Tribolium castaneum: one gene and its partners. The protein of the gene in region 4 binds, or shares a complex with, the protein of the main gene of each other region. Links are inferred from orthologs where the notes say so. Each region holds a gene or a part of one and is shown on either strand. Other genes may lie near its edges.

The links.
Region 1: l(3)76BDm (region 4) and brun share a complex: the UniProt entries of both Homo sapiens proteins name them as parts of the multisubunit TRAPP (transport protein particle) complex. The link is inferred for Tribolium castaneum from reciprocal best matches to the Homo sapiens genes TRAPPC8 and TRAPPC9.
Region 2: l(3)76BDm (region 4) and gry share a complex: the UniProt entries of both Homo sapiens proteins name them as parts of the multisubunit TRAPP (transport protein particle) complex. The link is inferred for Tribolium castaneum from reciprocal best matches to the Homo sapiens genes TRAPPC8 and TRAPPC11.
Region 3: l(3)76BDm (region 4) and trafficking protein particle complex subunit 12 share a complex: the UniProt entries of both Homo sapiens proteins name them as parts of the multisubunit TRAPP (transport protein particle) complex. The link is inferred for Tribolium castaneum from reciprocal best matches to the Homo sapiens genes TRAPPC8 and TRAPPC12.

What each region holds. Positions count from the first base shown.
Region 1 is NC_087399.1:3,381,285-3,386,601, reverse strand, and holds the start of brun (protein brunelleschi), read right to left. Parts: upstream 3,345-5,317; 5' UTR 3,193-3,344; intron 3,148-3,192; 5' UTR 3,116-3,147; coding exon 2,002-3,115; intron 1,956-2,001; coding exon 1,459-1,955; intron 1,416-1,458; coding exon 1,175-1,415; intron 1,129-1,174; coding exon 144-1,128; intron 95-143; coding exon 1-94. Other genes in the region: ATP-dependent DNA helicase PIF1, read right to left, coding at 3,853-4,377, 4,455-5,113, 5,164-5,317. UniProt on the Homo sapiens protein: Functions as an activator of NF-kappa-B through increased phosphorylation of the IKK complex. May function in neuronal cells differentiation. May play a role in vesicular transport from endoplasmic reticulum to Golgi.
Region 2 is NC_087395.1:23,290,876-23,295,544, reverse strand, and holds part of gry (trafficking protein particle complex subunit 11), read right to left. Parts: intron 3,772-4,669; coding exon 3,601-3,771; intron 3,552-3,600; coding exon 3,418-3,551; intron 3,368-3,417; coding exon 3,160-3,367; intron 3,118-3,159; coding exon 2,915-3,117; intron 2,866-2,914; coding exon 2,676-2,865; intron 344-2,675; coding exon 13-343; intron 1-12. UniProt on the Homo sapiens protein: Involved in endoplasmic reticulum to Golgi apparatus trafficking at a very early stage.
Region 3 is NC_087396.1:17,553,533-17,558,736, forward strand, and holds the start of trafficking protein particle complex subunit 12, read right to left. Parts: upstream 3,518-5,204; 5' UTR 3,380-3,517; coding exon 3,080-3,379; intron 3,034-3,079; coding exon 2,857-3,033; intron 2,808-2,856; coding exon 2,469-2,807; intron 2,423-2,468; coding exon 2,088-2,422; intron 2,043-2,087; coding exon 1,811-2,042; intron 348-1,810; coding exon 102-347; 3' UTR 1-101. Other genes in the region: Dlc90F (dynein light chain Tctex-type), read right to left, coding at 4,779-5,141. UniProt on the Homo sapiens protein: Component of the TRAPP complex, which is involved in endoplasmic reticulum to Golgi apparatus trafficking at a very early stage.
Region 4 is NC_087403.1:6,196,247-6,201,368, forward strand, and holds the start of l(3)76BDm (trafficking protein particle complex subunit 8), read right to left. Parts: upstream 3,475-5,122; 5' UTR 3,304-3,474; coding exon 3,147-3,303; intron 3,097-3,146; coding exon 2,646-3,096; intron 2,598-2,645; coding exon 2,318-2,597; intron 2,273-2,317; coding exon 1,995-2,272; intron 1,950-1,994; coding exon 1,701-1,949; intron 492-1,700; coding exon 35-491; intron 1-34. Other genes in the region: deoxynucleoside kinase, read left to right, coding at 3,772-3,963, 4,020-4,153, 4,205-4,323, 4,368-4,624; imd (protein immune deficiency), read right to left, coding at 5,006-5,122. UniProt on the Homo sapiens protein: Plays a role in endoplasmic reticulum to Golgi apparatus trafficking at a very early stage. Maintains together with TBC1D14 the cycling pool of ATG9 required for initiation of autophagy. Involved in collagen secretion.

The DNA of each region.
Region 1 (5,317 bases), on a different chromosome or scaffold from region 4:
TTCTATGAGCATTGTCTTGGACGGGGTGTACTGTAATTCCATTTCTTGCGACGTCAAGTTGGCCACATCCAAGACTAAATAAAACTGAGTGTTCCTACAAAAGAAAAAAATAACAAGGGCCTGATTCAAGTGGAGTCACTCACGTCTCAGCCGGTAATACATCCCAGTTGGTAACATGCAGCGAGGGCACCGTCTCAATCGTCAAAAAAACCGAACAACACCGACAATACGACGCTTGCAAGCCTGGCCCCCCACTGTACCGTATCTGCAACTGTCCCTCAACAACGGACGATGCTTGCTGGTTTATGGGCAAGTGGGGGATTTGTAAAGTGGCGCTCATGCTCGAATGGCCCGAATTCGAGGACCGAAAGCTCGAATTAACATTTCTGTGAAAACTGCTACTAGTTGGTGAATTCAGTCGCGAGGGTAACGAGCCCGGGCCTGAAATACTGCTACTGAAAACGCCACTGCTGAATTCATTTCCTGTGCCTCCCGGGACGAGAAAACTCCCAGCGGCGTACAAATACAACGTCAGACTAGCCGAACAATTCGGTTTTAGGGGCAATTGACTTAGGAGGTTCTCCTGCGACCAAGTGAACATCTGTTCTTGGAGGGCCGGTTCCAGGACCGTCTGCATCGAAACTTCGAGCATCTCCACGTCAACATGCCCGATATTTGTGATGGTGACTGTGCATTCGGCGCTTTCGCCGTGGTGGAGACTCACACTGGCTGAGGTTACGACGTTTTCGTAGTCGTGGAATGAGGAGAAGGAGGCGCTTTGAGGGAGCGATGTTTTCACCTCGAGTAAGGGAAGGGATGGGACGATTTCGACCTCGTAATGGGGTGGAAACCCGTTCATGTGTCTCAACCGACAGTTGGATTTGACGCCAAGGGTGTGCGTGCTGTAGCCTTGGAGTTGGAGCTGGCCTTCGCTTTCGCGCGGCGTGCCATGGAGGGTCGTAACAGATGGGGGAGCCCCCGACGGTGATAAAACCACAGTTTCGGGGAGTGACTCAAACACGACACCTGATGTCAACAAACGCATGTCCGAAACCTTCAACTCGAAGGGCAGGGGGTTGGACAGCTTGAGGGTGACTTCGCAAGGCTCGTTCTCCACCCACAAAAATGCTACAATTTTTTTTAATCAAGCAATCGTGTGTATCAAATTCCCTACCCATTTTAGTTTGACTCGCTGTGCTCCTCCGATCCAAACTCCCAAAATGAATTGGAGTGAACAAAAACGGCCCCGTGTCCTGCTTTACAGCCTGTATTTTCCGCGGCTGTAAATGGGGCTGCAAGTTCCTCAAAACAAAAGAATGGCAAAGTGGAATATTGGTCAAGTTGGCCGGTGGTATAACAACGCCACTGTCCAACACCAAGGGCACCGGTGACCCTTCACATTGCGCCGATAAGGCCTAAAATAATCTTGATTATGTTATTCCCCTAAAAAAAACGTACTTGTAACTGTATCGCCAGTTCTTTCTGCTCAGTCGGCGTCAAATGCTGCCACATTGTTTGCAACAAAAACGTCATGTGGCGAGTCGCCAACGCCGAATGCCCCATTCTTTTCGCCGCCACCACCAGTTCTTGTAACAATTGAATTTGTAGAATTGGCCACCCTTGTTCAACCTCCCTCATTTCGGCCGGATCTAAAGATAGGCGATGGCCGGGAAGGCTGTGGAGCATGAGGTTATAGCAGCGGTTCCAATTGGGGGCGGGATTTTGGGGCGAGACGTATCTGGTGGCGGCGAGCCGTTGGCAGAAGGCGGCTTTACGCGTGAAACCAATTTGCGTATAAAGTTCGGCCAAGGTCTCAAAACGCTGGATTTTTTCCTGCTCTGAGAGCGTTAAATTGATGTAGACCACGTTTTGTAGAAACGAGGCGGCTTGAAGTGAGTGGTTTTGCTCAACAGCGATGCGGGCGGCCTTAAAACTCGCCTCAGTCTCGACTATCCCTAAATGAAACTTGGCAAGGTATGCAACCAACTATACACAACTCACCCGCATTTTGATACTTGCTGTAGTGAATAATCGCCTCCCGATACCTCTTCGAGATATCCTCGGGGGCTAGTGTGTTGGGCACGGAGGCTTTCTTCGCCCCCACGTCAAGATTACTCGCGACTACTGTTTTTTTCGGCGAGGAACCCTCTTGCAAACTGGCGTTACGTTGCAATTGCACACTTCGCTGCATCTCGGGGTACAAAACTAGAGCAGAAGCGGCACACAAACCCTCATAGGCGGCCCCCAGCCACAACCAATCGTTGACACTCTTCAACGTCTCGGCTGCATTGCCGTAATAAACCAGGCTTTCGGCCAGCAGCCCCGCTTGCAGACACAAATCGCCCAAGTGTTTGGTCATCCGGCCTGTGCATTTTTTCTTGTTGTTGCGCGACTCCATGTCGAGCCCCACGAAGTCCTTTTTCTCAAAGGGGGCGAGCAGGAGGGAGACCCGTTCGAGCTTTTCGCGCGAGCGTTCGAGTCGTTTGGACTCAAGCACCCAAAACAGCGAATTGATGAATTCGATTATTTGGGTTTCGAGGTCAGCACACGGGGCGCTCTCGTCGTAGAAGAGCCCCCGTGTCTTGAAGTTGCTAGGCGTTGTGAACTTCTCGATGTTCTCCTCGGGGGCGCTGCTGCTGCTGTCGGTGTTGGGGCTCGAGGTGTCTTCCGGCGAGCTGCTCGCCTCCTTCGTGGGGCCGAACAAAATGCAGCGCGAATCGAATAACGTGCCGGTGTATTTGACTTTGAGACTCTCGTGGACGCGGCATATTTCATTGAGCTCTTGCTGGGAGTCGTATTTTCCCAGAGAGACGAGACCTAAGAGTCGTCGGTGGGTTTGGAAGTCGCCCCAATCGTTGTTTTCAACGGGGTGTTCCTTCACATAACGGACTAGAATCGTGCGGACGTTTCCCGTCGAGTCGGTGATGCGGACTGAGGTGAGTTTGGCGATACGGTCGTGGAATTTTTGGAATGTTTTGGGCTTTAGTTGGGAGCCTATGTGTCGTACGAGCACCAGGAGAGCAGCGTGGTCATGGGAGTATTGTTCGTAGTCGGGGTGAGACATGTTTGGCTCGCTGGTACTACTCGAAAGGATGTAACTTACCGAAGAACGCATTTGTGAGGCCTGGGGATCACCTACATTTCAAACTTCGCCCCCCGAATAAAACGCACTCTTTGGCCGTAAATAATTACCTGATCATTGCTTTACGCCTCTGAGGGGCCTGTTCTTGCGCAAATCACTCTTTTTACACTTAAACTACGTTTAGGGTCAGCAATTTGACACTTCACGACATCAACATAACCTATGAGAGTAAGAGATAGTTTTATGCAGCCAAGTTCACACCAGGAAAATTATCAAAATAATCGTAAAAACATCAATAAGCTGTTACGCTGATTTGCATATCACATTGGTAGAACATCTCCTGACCATTCAAATGTGTTTCTATTACAAATTAAAACATGACTGTATTTAATTTCTGCATTTTTTATTCTCATGTTCAAGCAATGCAAACTGATTTTTTTCACCCCCTTTATATCCTGCAATTTTCTTTGTTTTTGCAGGAGATTAAGCCCTCCGATAGGGCCTTCGACTGTAAAAAAATCATGTTCGGACACCCGAACCCCTTGGGACCTTAATGAATTTTTAAAGATTCTTTAAGATTTCCCGATTTCGCAAACTGTATTTTTTTAACTGTAGCTGAAAGCGTAAAAAACGCCTAGATTGTGGTTAATTAACAAGGCAAGGGTCGGGTCAGGTCAGGCCAATAAAAACCGTTTCATAATACTTTATTAATCGAATACTCACTTTTAAACTTAATCTAAATGTAAAATATATCATTCTCCATACGCGACTTAATTAATAGTAACTAAAGGTTTGCTCATCAATTTCGCATTAGGTTTGTAGGATTTTTTAACCGCTGCCTTGTCCTCTCTCCTCCCCAAGGGAATAAGTCTCATGGCCTCCATCTGCAAGTTCAACGACCGATAAAAATCCAAAACATTTTTATTGGCCCAGACTTGCGAGGCCTTAAACCCTAAAACCCTCAGCGTGTCTAAACTTTGGGCCCTACTTAACGCAACATAAGCTTGACCGGCTTCAAACACCTTTCCTAGCGACATTTCAACACAATCTAACGTCAAACCTTGGGACTTGTGAATGGAAAAAGCCCACGCTAGTTTAAGGGGCACCTGTTTCCTCGTGAGCATAACACCGGTGGCGCTTTTGACGCACCAGCGCTCAGGCTTTGCGACATATTCTTTGCTACGGAATTGCACAACGGGAACACCTTCTTGGAAGGATTTGACGACTCCACGAGCGCCGTTCACGAGCCCCGTGGCGATGTTTATGTTTTTCAAAAGCATCACCTGCGCACCGACCTGCAAAAAAACAAACTTTGAATATTAAAAAACTGTGTTAATTATTTCCAAAAAAATCGTGAATAATGGATAAAAACCTTCAATTCGAGCGTGTGCGGGATGGAGGTTTGCTGATCCAACTGCTTGATAAGATGCGGGTGTGAGTCTTCGGACGTAAAGACGAGTTTTTCGCCCGGCAGTGCGTTAAGTTTCGCTTCGTTAATCGCGTTCGCTTCCAGCGTGTGCGAGCACAACCTCGTGGCCAAAATCCCGTTCTTTTCGATATTCTGTCGCGACGTTTCGGCCAATCTCGTCGCCATATCTTCAGGAATTTGTCCAATGCGCACACAATTCAAGATTTTGATAAACTCGTCGTCGTTTTGCCGGTGGACTTTTTTCAGTTCATACGCCGACAATCGGCACCGACTCCAGGCCTCCGTCTCGAAACAGAACTTGACTGGAGTTTTGCCTTTGGCCACCGGAGGCAATTGGAAAAAATCCCCGCACAAAATCAACTGAATCCCGCCGAAAGGCTGCTCATTCCGCCTGACTTTCCGGGCTATTGCCTCGATTTTCTCGAAATACGACCCGTCAACCATCGAAATCTCGTCGATGATCAGGTGCTTGCACTTGCGCCAGACCGTGTAAGCCCCCGGGCGCGACGCCAGCTCGACGGAGCGCTCCAGGGGCGCCTCGCCGGCCCCGATCCCGGCGAACTGGTGCAGGGTGATCCCCCCGATGTGGCAAGCGGCGACACCTATAACTCACAACTTGCACAATGCAAACATTGCCAACTTGAATACAAACCTGTGGAGGCAGTGGCTGCGGTCACGTCGGGCGGCAGCGCCCCAATAATCCTCTTCAAAAGAAAGCTTTTCCCCGTGCCTGCACTCCCCGTGAAGAACACGTTGCGTCCGCTGAGGCAAGCCTCCAGCACCTCCTTCTGCTCGATATCCAGGGG
Region 2 (4,669 bases), on a different chromosome or scaffold from region 4:
TTAACAACTCACTTAAACTAATCGTCTCGTCTTTGCTCAGAGCCACTTCGACTCGCATGTCTTTAATATCGTGCAGCTCCTCGTTGTTTATTGCAATCTTGATGGCGAACCACTCGCCTAAAAGCGCCGGAATTGCATATTCGAGCCCGATTTCCAGCTTGGAATGTCTCGGGATGATTAAAGTGGCGGTTCGGGGCGAGATATTGTCGAAGTTGAGTTTGTGGGGACTGTATTTGAAGTGCAAAAGTTCGGGACAGACGCGGTTTGGGCCGTTTTGCGGACTGAATTTGAGATCCAAATTCGTCTCGCTCGCGTTGCCCATCACTAAATTAATTGCGCCAATCTAGAAATTAAATTAAGTTGGCAACACCCAATGTTGCCAATTCAAATTTGGACTTTGAAGCTTTTTTCCCAAGTAACAATTTAAGTTTTATGATAGTCTGGAAGAGTGCTATAAGAATAGTTTCTAAAACTATTTAGAATGATAGGAAAAATGAAAAAAGGCCCACTCTTCAGGAGGTTGTCAAGTCTAGTCTTTAAAAACTTTATAAAACTAATTTGTTTTTTTTAAATAGTTTTAAAATGGTTTTAAGACATGCTCAAAGTGTCTTATAAAACCTGGTGTTAGAGCATTGGGATTGAAAAGGGTTTTATTGCAGGAATAAAGATAAAAGTTTAGATAACTCGTTTTTAAAATTTATGTTTCAATACTGTTATAAGAAATTATTTCTCGGAGCACAAGACTGTATTTATTTTTACGTATTTATTATATTTGTCTTTTATCCCTTTTAAAAACTATTAAAACACGATATCGAGGTAGAAAATTTAGAAACGACGGCCAGCTTTTGATGGAATTTATTAAGGAACTTGTAAAATTTTAACGCCCTTCATAAATACCGAAAATATACACATTTGTAAAAACATTATTTTATAGATATAAAAAATCTGCGTTAATTCTTTAAACTGATTTTTAAAGTGATAACAACTAAGTTTTACTGCTGAGAAAAGAAAAAAAAACAAAAATTATCACAATTTCTTCAAGGTTTAGAAAGTGCGTATTTTTTAATTTTAACTCTAACAGCAGTAAAATATGACTACTAAACGTATAAAACTATATCTTCTATATAAAATTACTTATAAAAAAATTACTCTCAATAAAAGCCAATAAAAACCACTATAAGACAACTTAGACTACAGATAAAGTGCTTTAATTTAATAAAGACTATAAATATTTAGATAAAACATAAAGTGCCATACAGAACCTTTTTAAAACCATTTAGTTTCAAGATGGTTTTATAAGGTAGTATTTAGTTAAATATTTCCCGACAGAAATTATAACTGTGTTCAACGTAGAGTTGGTTTAATTTTCAATTAAATGCTGAGATAATTAATCCATATTTACTTAATTTTGCAGCCCCTGCCTTATAAAATTTTTTTCTTCAAAAAAAATTGGTTCATTCCGAAAATAAGGAAAAATTCACAAACTCTAAGAAAAGACAATTTTTATTGACAGAGGGACTTTTTTTGTTGTACTCATGTACAACTATTAAAAAATTCTAACATCAAACAAATTCTATAAATGTTCGTGCGTTGGAGCCAGCTAAAGACAAGTCAGTAAATATGTATCTGTTTTTAACTTCATTCTTTCGTCGGTTGATTTTCTCTAGAATTTAGTAAATATTTTTTACTTATTTTCATTAGTCTATTTTTGAATAAAATAGAAATTCCAGTTCTACGAATAGTAAAAGTTCCGTAAAAATGCAAGATAGTTCTGAAAACTAAATTAAAAAAAAAAGTTCTTTGTAATGTCACCAAACATGCATCAGATTGTTTAATGTTTCTTTTACCAAGATATCTATTAAAAAATCACCTTATATTTATTTAAAAAAAAATTATTTCAAAAAAAAAAACGTAGCCATTTTTACAACTTTTTTCTATAATAAAGACATTTTTCTGTGCTGTGTACTAATTAGGTTTTTTCTACAATTACTCATCGTGAATTTTCTACTATAACATGAACTGAAACTAAAAATACACTGCTTCTTAAAACTCATTAACTAAACAATAAATAATTAAAGGTAAAAAAATACGACGAAAACTAAAAATGTGATCAATTTATTTAAAAAAAATGCAACCCATCTTCTACTAGATATTTTTTAAATCAAAATCAAAATATTTTTACCGTCTCAGGCTATAGCCTATTTAGCCGTTAGAGCAACCGTTATTTGCCAGAGAATGCCTTTTAACTAATACACGAAACAACGCAGCTCTCAATACTACAGTGAGTGTGTATGAAGCAAATATGTATTTTCTTACAACAAATTATTTATTTATTTATTTTATTTCATTTATTGACCAAATAAGATTGTCTGAGAATAAAAAGTTTTAAAGACGACTACCACCTGGCAATTATAAGAGTATTATAAAACTTTTGTTAAAACTATCTTAGGAATTATGACCTGACCTGACCTGACCAGTTAAGATTGTCTGGAAGTAAAAAGTTTTAAAGACGACTCCAAGGCAATTACAATTAAATAACTGTGATAAATCTCAAGCTGTATAATGTTAAATTGGTTTTATCATTTAGTTTGTGATCTGTAGGAGCTGTTTTACAGCAACTACCTTCACAAACAGCATTTAAATTGTTACTTGGGCTGGCAAAGTCACCAACTCACTTGGATCTCGCTGTTGACGTCGTTCGAGTCGGGTACAAAATCAATAACGAATCGTTTCGTCTCATCCGAGCCGAACTCCAAAGAATTCGAACTCAAATTCTGATTATCAACGGCATATTCGCAATTATACGACGGAGTATTGATCGTGACTGAGACTTTTGTGAAAGTTAGAGGCAGGGGGCTCGAGCATCTTAAACGAATTTATCAAAATTGTAATTTTTACGTTACAATTCAAGTACTTGATATAGACTTCAACCGTAACGTTTTGATCGACTTCGTATTTCGCTTGCATGAAAGTTGCCTTAGTTTCAATGCAAGTCGAGACATTTCCCAAATCGAGCGAGAGGTGAATCGGCTCGGTTTGCAGCTTTGGCTGCCACTGAATTACGGCGTGTTGTAACACATCGGGGGTTAGTTTCTGGTCCCCGAAAGGAATCTGTCTCTAAATTTTTCGTGGAATCGATACTTTTCGTTGCCTCCTTACCTTCAAAATCCTTTGGAGATTCTCATGGATGCGCTTTTTCTGCTCAACGCTCAGCTTACTGTATTTCCCCAAAATTTCAAGACTCAGTAGGACGTAGTCCTGGACGCTTGCCGTCAAATAAGCGCATCTGATTGCCTTCTCTAAAATATCCGTCAAGAGCAGCCACCAGTTTTCCGCCCGAAAATCCCACAGCATGTGGGTAAGGAGACTAATAATAACTGTGTAAATAGAAATCCGTCACTTATGGCAAATATTTACGTCAATGCTTTGCCGAAATCGTGAGAGTTGTAATATTCCTCGGCCATTTGCAGCACCAAGTGGCGCCTCGTCCGAGGGCATCTGTACGTCTTGTATTGCGAAATGGCCAAGCCATAGAGCGAAACGATTGCGTTCTGTTGAAACAAAAATTGTAAATAATGATCGGGGGATTTTGCCACGTACAGAGTGCGCAAATTGCTTTTCCAAATACTGAATTGCCTGGATTCCGTTCGATTCCAGTTGCGGGTCGGGAGGCTCGGCCGATAATTTTCCGGGCCTCCAGGGCCTCTGCCCGTAAAATTCCATACTGTTTGCCCCTTCTAAGGGGTGCGGTTGGGGCAGCGCTATGATGTTCTACAATTGGAGATTCGTTTATTTTAAGCGAAAATATATGGCTTTTGTAGTCGCTTCCTGCGATTTTATGTACTGATAATATTTACATAAACGATAAACTGTGTCAGTAAATGGAAGTCGTAAGTTTGGTTTTGTATGGTTGCCTCCGGAAGCAAAAATTCAACACGCCCACAAAAACTTCAAATAATAATCAATTACAGTGCGATATATTTTAGTTCAAACAGAGAGTTTCGTTTATTTTTGTAGCAATTCGTTATAAGGCTGATGAGTTATGGAGTTGAAAAAGTGTAAACTGGCGGTTCCTTAAACAATAGAATTTGCATTTTGAGCCGGATTTAAAAAAATCACTACAATATTTTTTATAATTAAAACAAACTTTACATCTTTACGCATTTTTTTTCAATAATTCAAATTCGACGAAAGATTGGTTTTGTACTTTTTTCGAGTGTTTGAGTGCAAAAAACCTTATTTGTTATAATTCTGTCAACTTAGATCCTTCATTTTTTATGCGGGGTTATTCTTTGAAAACGGCAAGGGCTTCACAATTTTTACTTATGGCCCCATTTCAGAAATTAAATGAATTATTTTAATTACTTCACATGTGTGGTGAAAAAATTTTCGGAATATTATCTTTTATTCCCTGCTTTTTGACGAACGTCATTGTGTTATTTGATACCGTACAACTAGAATTTATTAACTTTTATTCATTTTCTTCAAATCTGATAAGTTTTTTAAGCAATATTTTTTTGTACAAGTAGAACTTACCACTCGTATTTGTACCAAAAAACTGTTATCTTCCATTTTATGAAAAGAAAAATGTAGGTTCCAATTTAAAAAATAGCCCAAAATACACTATAATATTTAGAAAAAATGTAAAAGTATTAGATCATACTACATT
Region 3 (5,204 bases), on a different chromosome or scaffold from region 4:
TGCGCCAATGTTTCACAAATGTAAATAAATTAGTGCTAAAGAAAATGATTTAACTTAGAGGAATCACAGATAAACAATTATTAACAAATCCACACAATTAATTATCCATACAGTTTTTCAAGAATCGTCGTGGGGGCATCTGCCTGATACCTCGATATTTGTCTCAACAGGGCGAATTTTTTCATACGGCCTTTCGACGACTCCATGTCGTACAAGGTACACAAATTTAAAAGCAAAGACTCATGGAGGGCGTGAACCGGATTTGACTCTATGGCACTTTCTAACACCTTAATAGCCTCCTTTAGGTGGCCGCCGTAGAGGAGGCACACCCCCATGTTGTTGAGGATCTGCAAGGGAAGCACAGCTGGTTAAGTCCTTAAATGCTAAATGAGAAAAGCACAAAATGTGGCGAAACTAGCCTTTGGAAATTTTAATTTTTTAATGAATCCTACTGACTACACTGGTGTACAGAGGCGGTTGATGTTAAAATTCACACAGCAAGTTTTGTTTTTTGTTTTCGTTTTTATTGATAAAATAAATAATAATCTAAGTTATCAAAACCAAATAATGTGGGTATTATTAACATGAAGATATTAACAAAAATACACTAGTGCATAACCATATCACCACCTACATTTTTTTGAAATCTTAGTACTTTTAATAAAATTATTATTATTTTTGCTGTTCCCAAATGCTTGAGCACACTTATAAACCAAAAGTGTAAAAATTAAATTTTGCACAACAGAAGAAATAATAAATAATAATAAATAATAATGTAATTTTTCGAGGGTTTTAGTACTTTTTTCAGCCAAAAAAAAACTCACTTATTTCGCATAAATTCCCTAAAAGAAGTTAATAACACGCCCAAAAAAAAATTACAATATCATGTCGAAAGGGCCTTCCATGGTCGAAAGTTACGCTATTTTCAGCTAAAAACTCGTTCTACAATATTTCCTCTAATACGGCGAAAAGTTTCAAATGACAAAAAAGCTTGAATCGACTTTCTATAACTATTTACTTTATGGAAAAAAATAGAATTTAGAATATGATCATCACCTACCAAATCTGTTAAAATTGTGGATAATTTTTAAAGAATAAAATTTTCCTTTTAGTTTTCTAGTTATGCGAAACCGTATTTATTTGTTTTTAAAGGTAGGACGATTTTTTTGGTTAAAGATTAAAAATTACTTTTAATCCAATAATGTTTTCAAACCAGTGTTTTGCGAAGGTTTTACTCTGAACTTAACCATTAAAAAAATAAATAAATAAAATTTTGCATCACTCGAAAACAAAAGAAATTTCGAAAAATTTTATTCAACAATAATTATCACATTATTAATATACGTTCAATGATTTTTTGTTAAGTAACATAGTTTATTAGAATCTTAGGTAAAGTAGGACAATGTCGAGTTAATTTCGAGTTAAAAAGAAACTTCAGATTAAAGCCAAAAAAAAAACAACTTCGAAATAACCTCTGTTAAGTTAACTTAGAATTTTTGTAACTCAGACCTAAGGTAGTAATTCAAAGAACCGTCATTATTTAACTAATATTAAGTCGAGCATTAAGTTTAGGTAAATTCAGAGTTATTTGACTCTAAAGATAACTCACTATTGAAAATATAACAGGTCTATTGCTAACTTTTTCGAATGCCACTCGAAATTCGGCCGCTTCTTTTTTCTTAGTAATACTTTTTTATTAGGTGTACATTTTTGAAAATAATTGGAACGAATTGGAATAACATGGAATTGTTTTTGTGAATCTACATACACCATTGGCGCTAATACGTAGGGACCAAAAAAAAAACTTTACCATAACATTTGTGGGGTCCAGGAGACTGGCTTGCTGGAAGCAGACATAGGCCTCATCAAACGAATTCTGCGCCACAGCGAGCAACCCCCGATCCACATACTCCCTCAAATCCGTCGTGTTACCCCTCAAAGCCCTTGCTTCATCAAAACAAGTCTCCGCCCCTGCCACGTCGCCCACTTGCAGTCTCAACCTTCCTAACGCCGAATACAACATATGACGTGCCGTCCCATCCCTTAAACCCACCATTAGAAACTTTCTTCCCTCGCCTATTTTTCACCTGTGACACAACTCTTCCATCATCACCATTGCCAATTCATAATCTTTCAAGGCCAGGGCACAATTAACAATAGAGTGCATGACTCGAGTCTCGCGCCCCGTCCAAAGTCGAATCGAATCGGTGCGATCCGACTCACTAATTTCGATAGGGCTGCCGTCCTCGCTCAAGCCCTGTTTCAAGTTATCCAACATTTGTTTTATCGTGGACTTCATACTGTACAGCTTTGTTAACGAGTCTTTGGGTTTACCGCAATGCATTGGCAGTTCGCTTAAGAGTAAACGAAATGAAAATGAAGCGATGGAGCCTGGACGGCCCCCATACATCTCGGGGTAAAACTGTAAAATTGCGGTAAGTGGTCGAAGGTGATTTGTGGCTAGAGACCTGGTAGAAAACGTCCGGCTTGTCGAGCTGACCAAAAGGGGCAGCTTCCGATTGAGCAACTGCAAAGGCTTTGATTTTGACTAGAAGGGCGATACGAGTGAACCACAGCTGTAACGAATGGGGCGAATGTTTGCTAGGATGGCCCGCGCGGCCCCGACCCTGGCCGTAAATGGTTAAAAGTCTCGCAGTTAAATTAATTGCGGCTCGGTATGAACCCGCTTGTACTAACTCTCTCAGTCCCCTTTCGTCCTGCGTTACGTCGCTTTCGGACAAGATACTTCGTTGCGCGGCTTCGGCCTCCCCAAGACACAAGGTGACTGCTTCCCCGATATTGTCCCCCTTTTTAAATAAGTTTAATTTTCCCCCTTTGACTATTTAGCAAACATACCAAATCCTCTTCTAGCAGGACCCCAGGCATGGTGAGGAGCTCCCTGTCTGGAAAATACGTACCGGGGGCTGCCGTGGCGCACGCAATGAGACATTGTCTGGTCCTCTCGCTAGGTATCCAGGCATCTCTCCTGCGGTCTGCTTCCGAGCCTAGTGCCACTCTGGGGCAAAAACCGTCCTAGAAAAATTTACCAAACTGTGGAACACACAATTAGGTCACTCACGTCGTTGTTTGGCGTTATGTCGAGGTTTGATATCAAGCCGTTGGAGGTAACGCTGTGGTTGTTTCCAATTAAATCGAAGAATGACGTCGTCTGATCTTTGGCTTGTGGTGGCGTTTCGGCGAATATTCGACACACTTCTGGTTCGTTTTTCTTAGCACTTGGGAGATTGTCATCTAGTTTAAGATCGGTTATTTTTGTGGAAGCTTCATTTAGTTCTTCGGATAGGTCTATTGTCTTTACTTTATCGTCGGTTTTTTCGCCGAAGTATTGACTCAAGGACGGGGGCACGCTTTCCGACATGTCTAGCAATTATTCACTAAATACCTCGATCTTTACACGAACTTATAATAAATAAATACGACGAAAGTCTGTTTACGTTCGTTTATTGACATTTGCGAGTGACTTTTTTATTAGTGACATTGACATCCACTGTAGCCAATCGTAGAAAAACTTGAAATGGGTTTATGGCGCGAATTTCTATTTCTATTATTAACACCAACGTCGCATTTTCCCTCGAAATTAACTGTTCTAAATTATTCATGCCCTTCAAAAAATTAATAGCTAATGTAATTTATACAATCTGTCTATAAATGAATGTAGGATCGTAGTAGGTTTCAGAAGTTTGCCGTTTTGTTCAAGAAAAAACGAACAATGTTAGTTTTACTGGTACTTTTCAGAAATTTGATAGTAATAAAATAATTAAATGCGGCAAATTTAAATTACAGAACCACCTGAGAGCCAACACTCTTTTATAAACAGTCCGTAGTTTCAATGAGGGATCTAATCTTTAATAACTATTTTACATTTTTATACAGCTTAATTAAAAAGCAACGTCACATTTTACCGAATTATCTTTTTACATAAGACTGATAAAACTGTAAAATAGTTATGAATGCTAAGATCTCTCATTGAAAGAAGAAATTGTATTAGCTATTTATTAGCTTTGTTCGCGGAGGATTTTTAGAACTAATTCTGAAGTAGTCCAGGATTTATTTACAGCGCATGTGCGGTTCTGAACCAGTTATGGATTTTAGTCAACCGCAAACGATAATTTATCGTTGTCAAGTACACAACAAATGTTTAAAAACTAACAAGCTACAAAAATTTGAACAAAGTTAGAAATGAGTTATTCGAAAAACCTAAAACGAAAAGGTATAAATTGTAGAAAACAACCCATTTTCAAATTTACAAACATTATTTTATATACAAATAATTACGATTTAGTAAAGTATTAACTAAATTCCGGTAATCAAAACAGACAGTTTATTTATATTGATTCCAATCTCAAAAATATTCAAAGACATGAGAGTAACAGAGACAAAACCGCTTTCAACTGCGCACGTCTAGAACTAAAAATCCTTCGTCGAGTCCCAGGATCGTTGGGACTAATTCTGAACCGATCCGGGATTCAGCGTACTAGAGCTGGAACTAGTTCAGGATCGCTACCGCGAACAAAGCTGTTATTTTTTTGAAATGCATGAATAATATAACAGCTAATTTTGAGAGAGAATGCGACGTTGGCGTTTTTATATTTTTGAAACAGCTAACAACTGTAGTTTCAAATGTAAATAATATGACAAAATCCAAATAAAAAAATGACTTTATTAATACGTAACAATCACTATCAAGTAGAAACTTATAAATACGATAAATTATTCTTGAAAGGCAAATCCATGACTGTAATTACTTGTTGAAATATTTAAATAGCTAATCCATATACTGATACAATGCAGAACATGGTCTTGTTCTCCCAACGCACGGTGCAGCTCCCATCCGTGTTATTATCCCAATAGCACGAACTAGCGGTGTGCAAACCGGCCCCGTTCTTCTGCATTATGGTACAGGTCACGATGTACTTGTATGGTTTCATCAATTTCGTCAATTCTGATGTGCAACATTCCACGACCGAAGTCGTCCAGTCATTGACTTTATTTTGGGAATATGCGTTGCCTCCTATCACAGTTTCTATCGCGTCTTTAATGATCTTACTCACATCGTCGACCACGAACTGGCCCTCCTCTTGCAGATCTTGGTCCAACACTTCTTGATTCGTTTTCTCCATGATACTAAAATTCTTCAAGTTAATTCTTGGAAAATACACTGTATGGTTTGTAATCTCACTGAT
Region 4 (5,122 bases):
TATATTATACGTTTTTTCTAAGTCCGGCCCTTACCCCTAATATTGTTAAATATTCCTTCAAAAACACGCTCTGTTGTTGACCCGACTGCTTGCTGTCCCCATTAAGCAGCCGCGCAAACGACTTAACCGCCTCATCAAACGAATGGAGATTGTGAGCTTGACGCCCTATTGTATAATGAATGTGATCCTCAGCTAAATCCCAGCCACTGTATTCGTAAATTTGGTGTGCTTGTTTGTAGCTCCGCAATGAGTGTTTCCTTTGAGCAGCTTTTGAGAATCTATGGCCGGCCAAAACCATATGAAAGGCGTACTTTCTGACCATTTTCGAATGCAGGAAACAATAAGCGGCCTGTTCCAGAAAAAGAGCCGATCTCAAATCCGACTCTTCACTCGTCATTCGTATCAATTGATGGGCCGCTTCGCCGAACAAACCCCTACTTTTCAGACACTCGGAGCTTAAAAGTGTCGCTCGGGTCGCAAACTGAGGCATCCTAAACCGGAATTAAAAAATCTGTCAAAAGATAGAACAAACGGAATTATTATACAGTCAAGTGCCATGTAATTACCAATTCAACGTCTCTACAAAAACATTTCAAATTAGATTGTTGTCACCCGAAAGTTACTCAAAGCTAAACAAACATATGAATGAATAGGGTGTATTACATTCGCTGCCATTTTATATATTTTTGCGCAGTCCAGAAAATTCGGAACATACAGTATATTTCATTCTTTGCTCATTTATTTCTACTATTACATATTAAGTTTTTGTAAAGATGCGTTAACAAATATACTAGAACATTGTTAATCTGGAATTGAAACATAGAAAAATATTTAAAGAAAAAGAACATGATAAAAAACTTTTGCCTTATTACACTTAAACAAAGGATTGAGAAAAATTAAGGGCTATGTTATTAAATTCTCCCTAAAAACTGGTTTTGTATTAATTGTGTATTTATTAGAATAACGAAGTTAGGTATACTTAAAAATTTTGCCAAATTATTTGCTCATAAAATAAGTTTCAGCGATTGGACATTAAAAACTCATCCCCTGTATATTTGTATATTTTCCCCCAAAAAAATTAAGTGACGAAGTCGTAACAAAAATCACTAAATCAAACAAACGTCTTTGTTTCCCGCCTGCAAATTAGTTATATCTTATATCACAGATAGTGTTTTTATTAGTATTTTATTAGTTTACACAATTATTGTTGCGGCGTTTAATTTTATTCAGTTTGTTACTTGGTGTTGTCGTGCATTTTAATTTTATTGTCAATCTCCAAGTAAGATGTTGATAAATGGTAATGATTTTATTTTCATATATATTTATTATATTGAATTATATTTATTTTTAATGTCTTGCTACAAACAGTAGCAGAAGAAGATGCCATAAAGGTAAGTACATTTTCTTTATCCCAAGTGAGATGTTGAATATGTGGTATTAGTATCTTGTACTTATTTTGTTTTTATTTGTATTTTTTATAATTTCAATGTCTTGCTATAAACTGTAGCAGAAGAAGACGCCATAAAGGTAGGTGCATTTTTTTTATCTCCAATGAGACAACATTTCAAGCACTAAAAAAATAACGAAAAATTGTAGACGTCATAGAATTTGGTGCTTGTTTAGCTTCAAGTTGCGCACTTCAAAGGCGGTATATTTAGCAAAATACGACTGAAAATTCAGCAACAAAACGGGAAACCTACTTGCAGGTGTTCATGTAAGTGGTTATGCTCTCCTCCATGTAATCGTAGGTCTTTCTGCTCGACTCATTCGCCATAAAAGCCGCCAAGGCGGCCATTTCGAGCGCCCCAGCGTAGTACAGCCAGGCCTGATCCGTGTTGTAGTCCCTTTTAGCTAAATGATATGCTTGAAACGCTAGTAGATAATGTCCAAACATGAAATAAAGATCTCCAAGTCGCCGCACTTGCAATTCGGGTGAATCAGGCGCGTAGCTAAAACCCCACATCAGAAAAAAAATATTTGGAGATAAAACTTACATAAGATTATTCACTGCAACCGAACTGGCGCCCGGTTTATTGGGGTTGAACCAGCGTTTTGTCGCACTGAACAATGACCTGCTGACGCCTTTTTTGTTCGAAATTACGTCGCTTAGTTGGTGGATTTGTTTCTCGATGTAAGGCAGCAGACAGGTTTTGGTAAACTCGTGTAAAAATAATTTCACCTGTTCGACGTCTTCAGTCGACAGGCAGAGACCGTGCGATTTTAATTTGGAGTTGTTTGATACGGTTTTGTCTTTTTCAGTTGCCGAAGTGCTCTAATTTTTTATTTTAGTAATGTATTTGGTCACAAAAAGTGTTACCATTATTAAATCCTCAGTGTCAGGGCTCAGTGGGTGGTAATTTAAGTTGGTTTTTGTATCAGAGTCTTGACTGGTATCAAAAATCGCCCGTGAAGTGTAGGGTGAGCTCTCAGGGGTTGGATTGTAGTCTCTGGACTCAATATTACAGCTAATGAATTGGCTCCAAGGGTCCGGCAAATGCTCGGTGTTTGCGGCACCTGGGGGCCGTGAATTCATCCTCAAAAGAAAACAATTCGCCTCCCCGTATGACCCTTTAACTGACTCGTACGCCTCATTTGCGCTAAAAAATCTATTTGTTCACAATTATATGACAAAAATTATTACTTACACATCAATATTTCCTTCAACATTGTCATGGATGATCACATAGTATTTTAAAACATTTGAGCTAAACCACTTGGGTAACTTTCCAGGGGCGTTATTCTGCATTTGATTCAGACTCTGAGACAGCTGAATAATACTTTCAATGACATTGATTTCAGCTGAAGAAACAACCAAAACACACGATAAAAAATGCTTTGTATATTCATGATCAGAGGGATACTGAACTCGTAAAAACGTATCTCTCCAAGCCTCAAACCACGGCGTTGTTAAAGTAATGTTCAAGGTGTGATCGCTGGTGGTGAAATTCTCAGTCCGGAAGTCTGACAATTCACTCACTGAAGAGTTTAAAAATTTCCTAGCTAAAGTGGTTTGGGGAGGTCGGGAATTCACGTCCAAAAACGTTAATTTGAGGTTCCTTATTGTTATAACCGTGCCGGCCGGATCTTTGTAATGCACTGAAAAACATCAATTAGGGAGGTTTTTTCCCAAACTTGAACGCAACCACCGTCATTGCTCAATTTGGAAAAGGGTTGGAGCAGCTCAATGAAATTCAAATTATTTTTCTGACAAGAACCTTCAGCGAGAGGGGTGCACAAAACAGCAATTTGGGGTGTGAAGGCGTTTTTTATAAATTCTTGCGGAGTCTGCTTGCACTGAGCCATGAGTGTGAGGTTAAAAATTTTGTCAAGTCATCGATTAACTCTACAATGTACTTTGGTTGATTTTAAATTTAGTCACACACCCGATTTCTAATCATTTAAGGCTGTTTTGCGTTAATCGGAAAATTAACAACACTACAATCAGCTGCAAATCAGCTGTTTGACAGGTGTGACAGGTGACGATAAAAAAGAAACCATTTTTTGGGGTCACACCGATTACCGGACAACTAACGAAATGATTAAACGTTTGAATTCTAAGTAATTGTTGCCTAATTTATGAAAATAATCAGCAAAATTGTCCCCAATTTAAATTTTTGGCGCATGTCAGGTGCCAACTAAACTGACTAAACCGAAAACCCCTAGCTCGAAATAGGCGGGAAAGTGGATAAACAAACGTAATGCCGGTTGTTATCCGCCCTTAACATTACTCCTAGCCTTTTTACTGCGTTGTTTGTCGTGTAACGTGGCAAAATGAACACCGATTACTTGAAACGCTCCCCCTTGAAGCAATTTGCGAGCCTACGCCCCTACACCGTCATCGTGGAGGGTAACATCGGCTGTGGCAAAACCACTTTTTTAAACTATTTCCAACAATTCGACGATGTTAATGTACTCGCGGAACCTGTGAATAAGTGGCGAAACTGCAATGGGTACAACTTACTTGTAAGTACCACCTTTCATTGGGGTTTTAAAATTTTAAAGTCTTGGCGTTTTATTAGGATAAAATGTACTCTGACCCAAAAAAATGGAGTTTTACGTTTCAATCTTACGTCCAGTTGACTATTCTGCAGCATCATACCATGAAAACGGGACACCCAATTAAACTAATGGAACGATCAATTTACAGTGCTAGGTAGTTATTACTCTCGCGTTGTTTTTTTATGTAATTATTTCACTGATTTAGACATTGCTTTGTGGAGCAAATGGCCAGGAATGGGTCCATTGAGCGTGCCTCGGTGTCGGTGATGGACGAGTGGTTCAAATGGGCCAAAGAAAATTGCGACTTATCGGTTGACCTTATTGGTAAGTTTGAAAAAATTGAGACATTGTGTAAGTCCCCATTTTAGTTTACTTGAAAACGACCCCAGAAACGGCGTACCAGCGCATGTTGGCACGCAACAGACCTGAGGAGCAGTATGTGCCCCTTGAATACTTCCAAGATATACACAACTTGCATGAGGAGTGGTTGCTTCAGAAAAGATTTGAGTGCCCGGCCCCTGTCCTGATTATTGACGCCAATTTGGACAAATCAGGTATCATGGAGGAATACTCCAAGTGCAAAGCACAAATTTTCACAGAGAGAGAACTAAAAGTTGCGCTTTAATTCACTATTAGTATTTTTTAATTCACAAATTAGGTATCTAATTTCCCGGCCTCAAAGGCCGCTGCACATTACATTTCAGGGACGTGTGTATTCATTAGCTTAGGTTTTGTAATTTTAAATAAAATATTGCGATTTAAACGATTTATTTCTAACAAAGTACAAATATATGGCTTAATACTTGAAAAATTAGCCACATGATTACGCCATTTAAACCAGTGCCACTGGCCTGAAGATATCACACGATTCAAATTACAATTTTTATGCGGAATGATAAAAAGTCACGAAAAACTTTCCATAACAATAAATAAACAATGATAAGAAACATTGCGGTTGGAAGAATAGAACCATTATTACTGAACTAACAATAAAAAGCACCAAAAACTACGATTTATTTTTGATAACATACTCAGACCACCTTTGAACGGCGTCTTGCTGGTTTGTGTCCCACAACACTTTTGAGAGTTTTCCAACAGTGGCACAATCGGCTTCGTTTTGTAT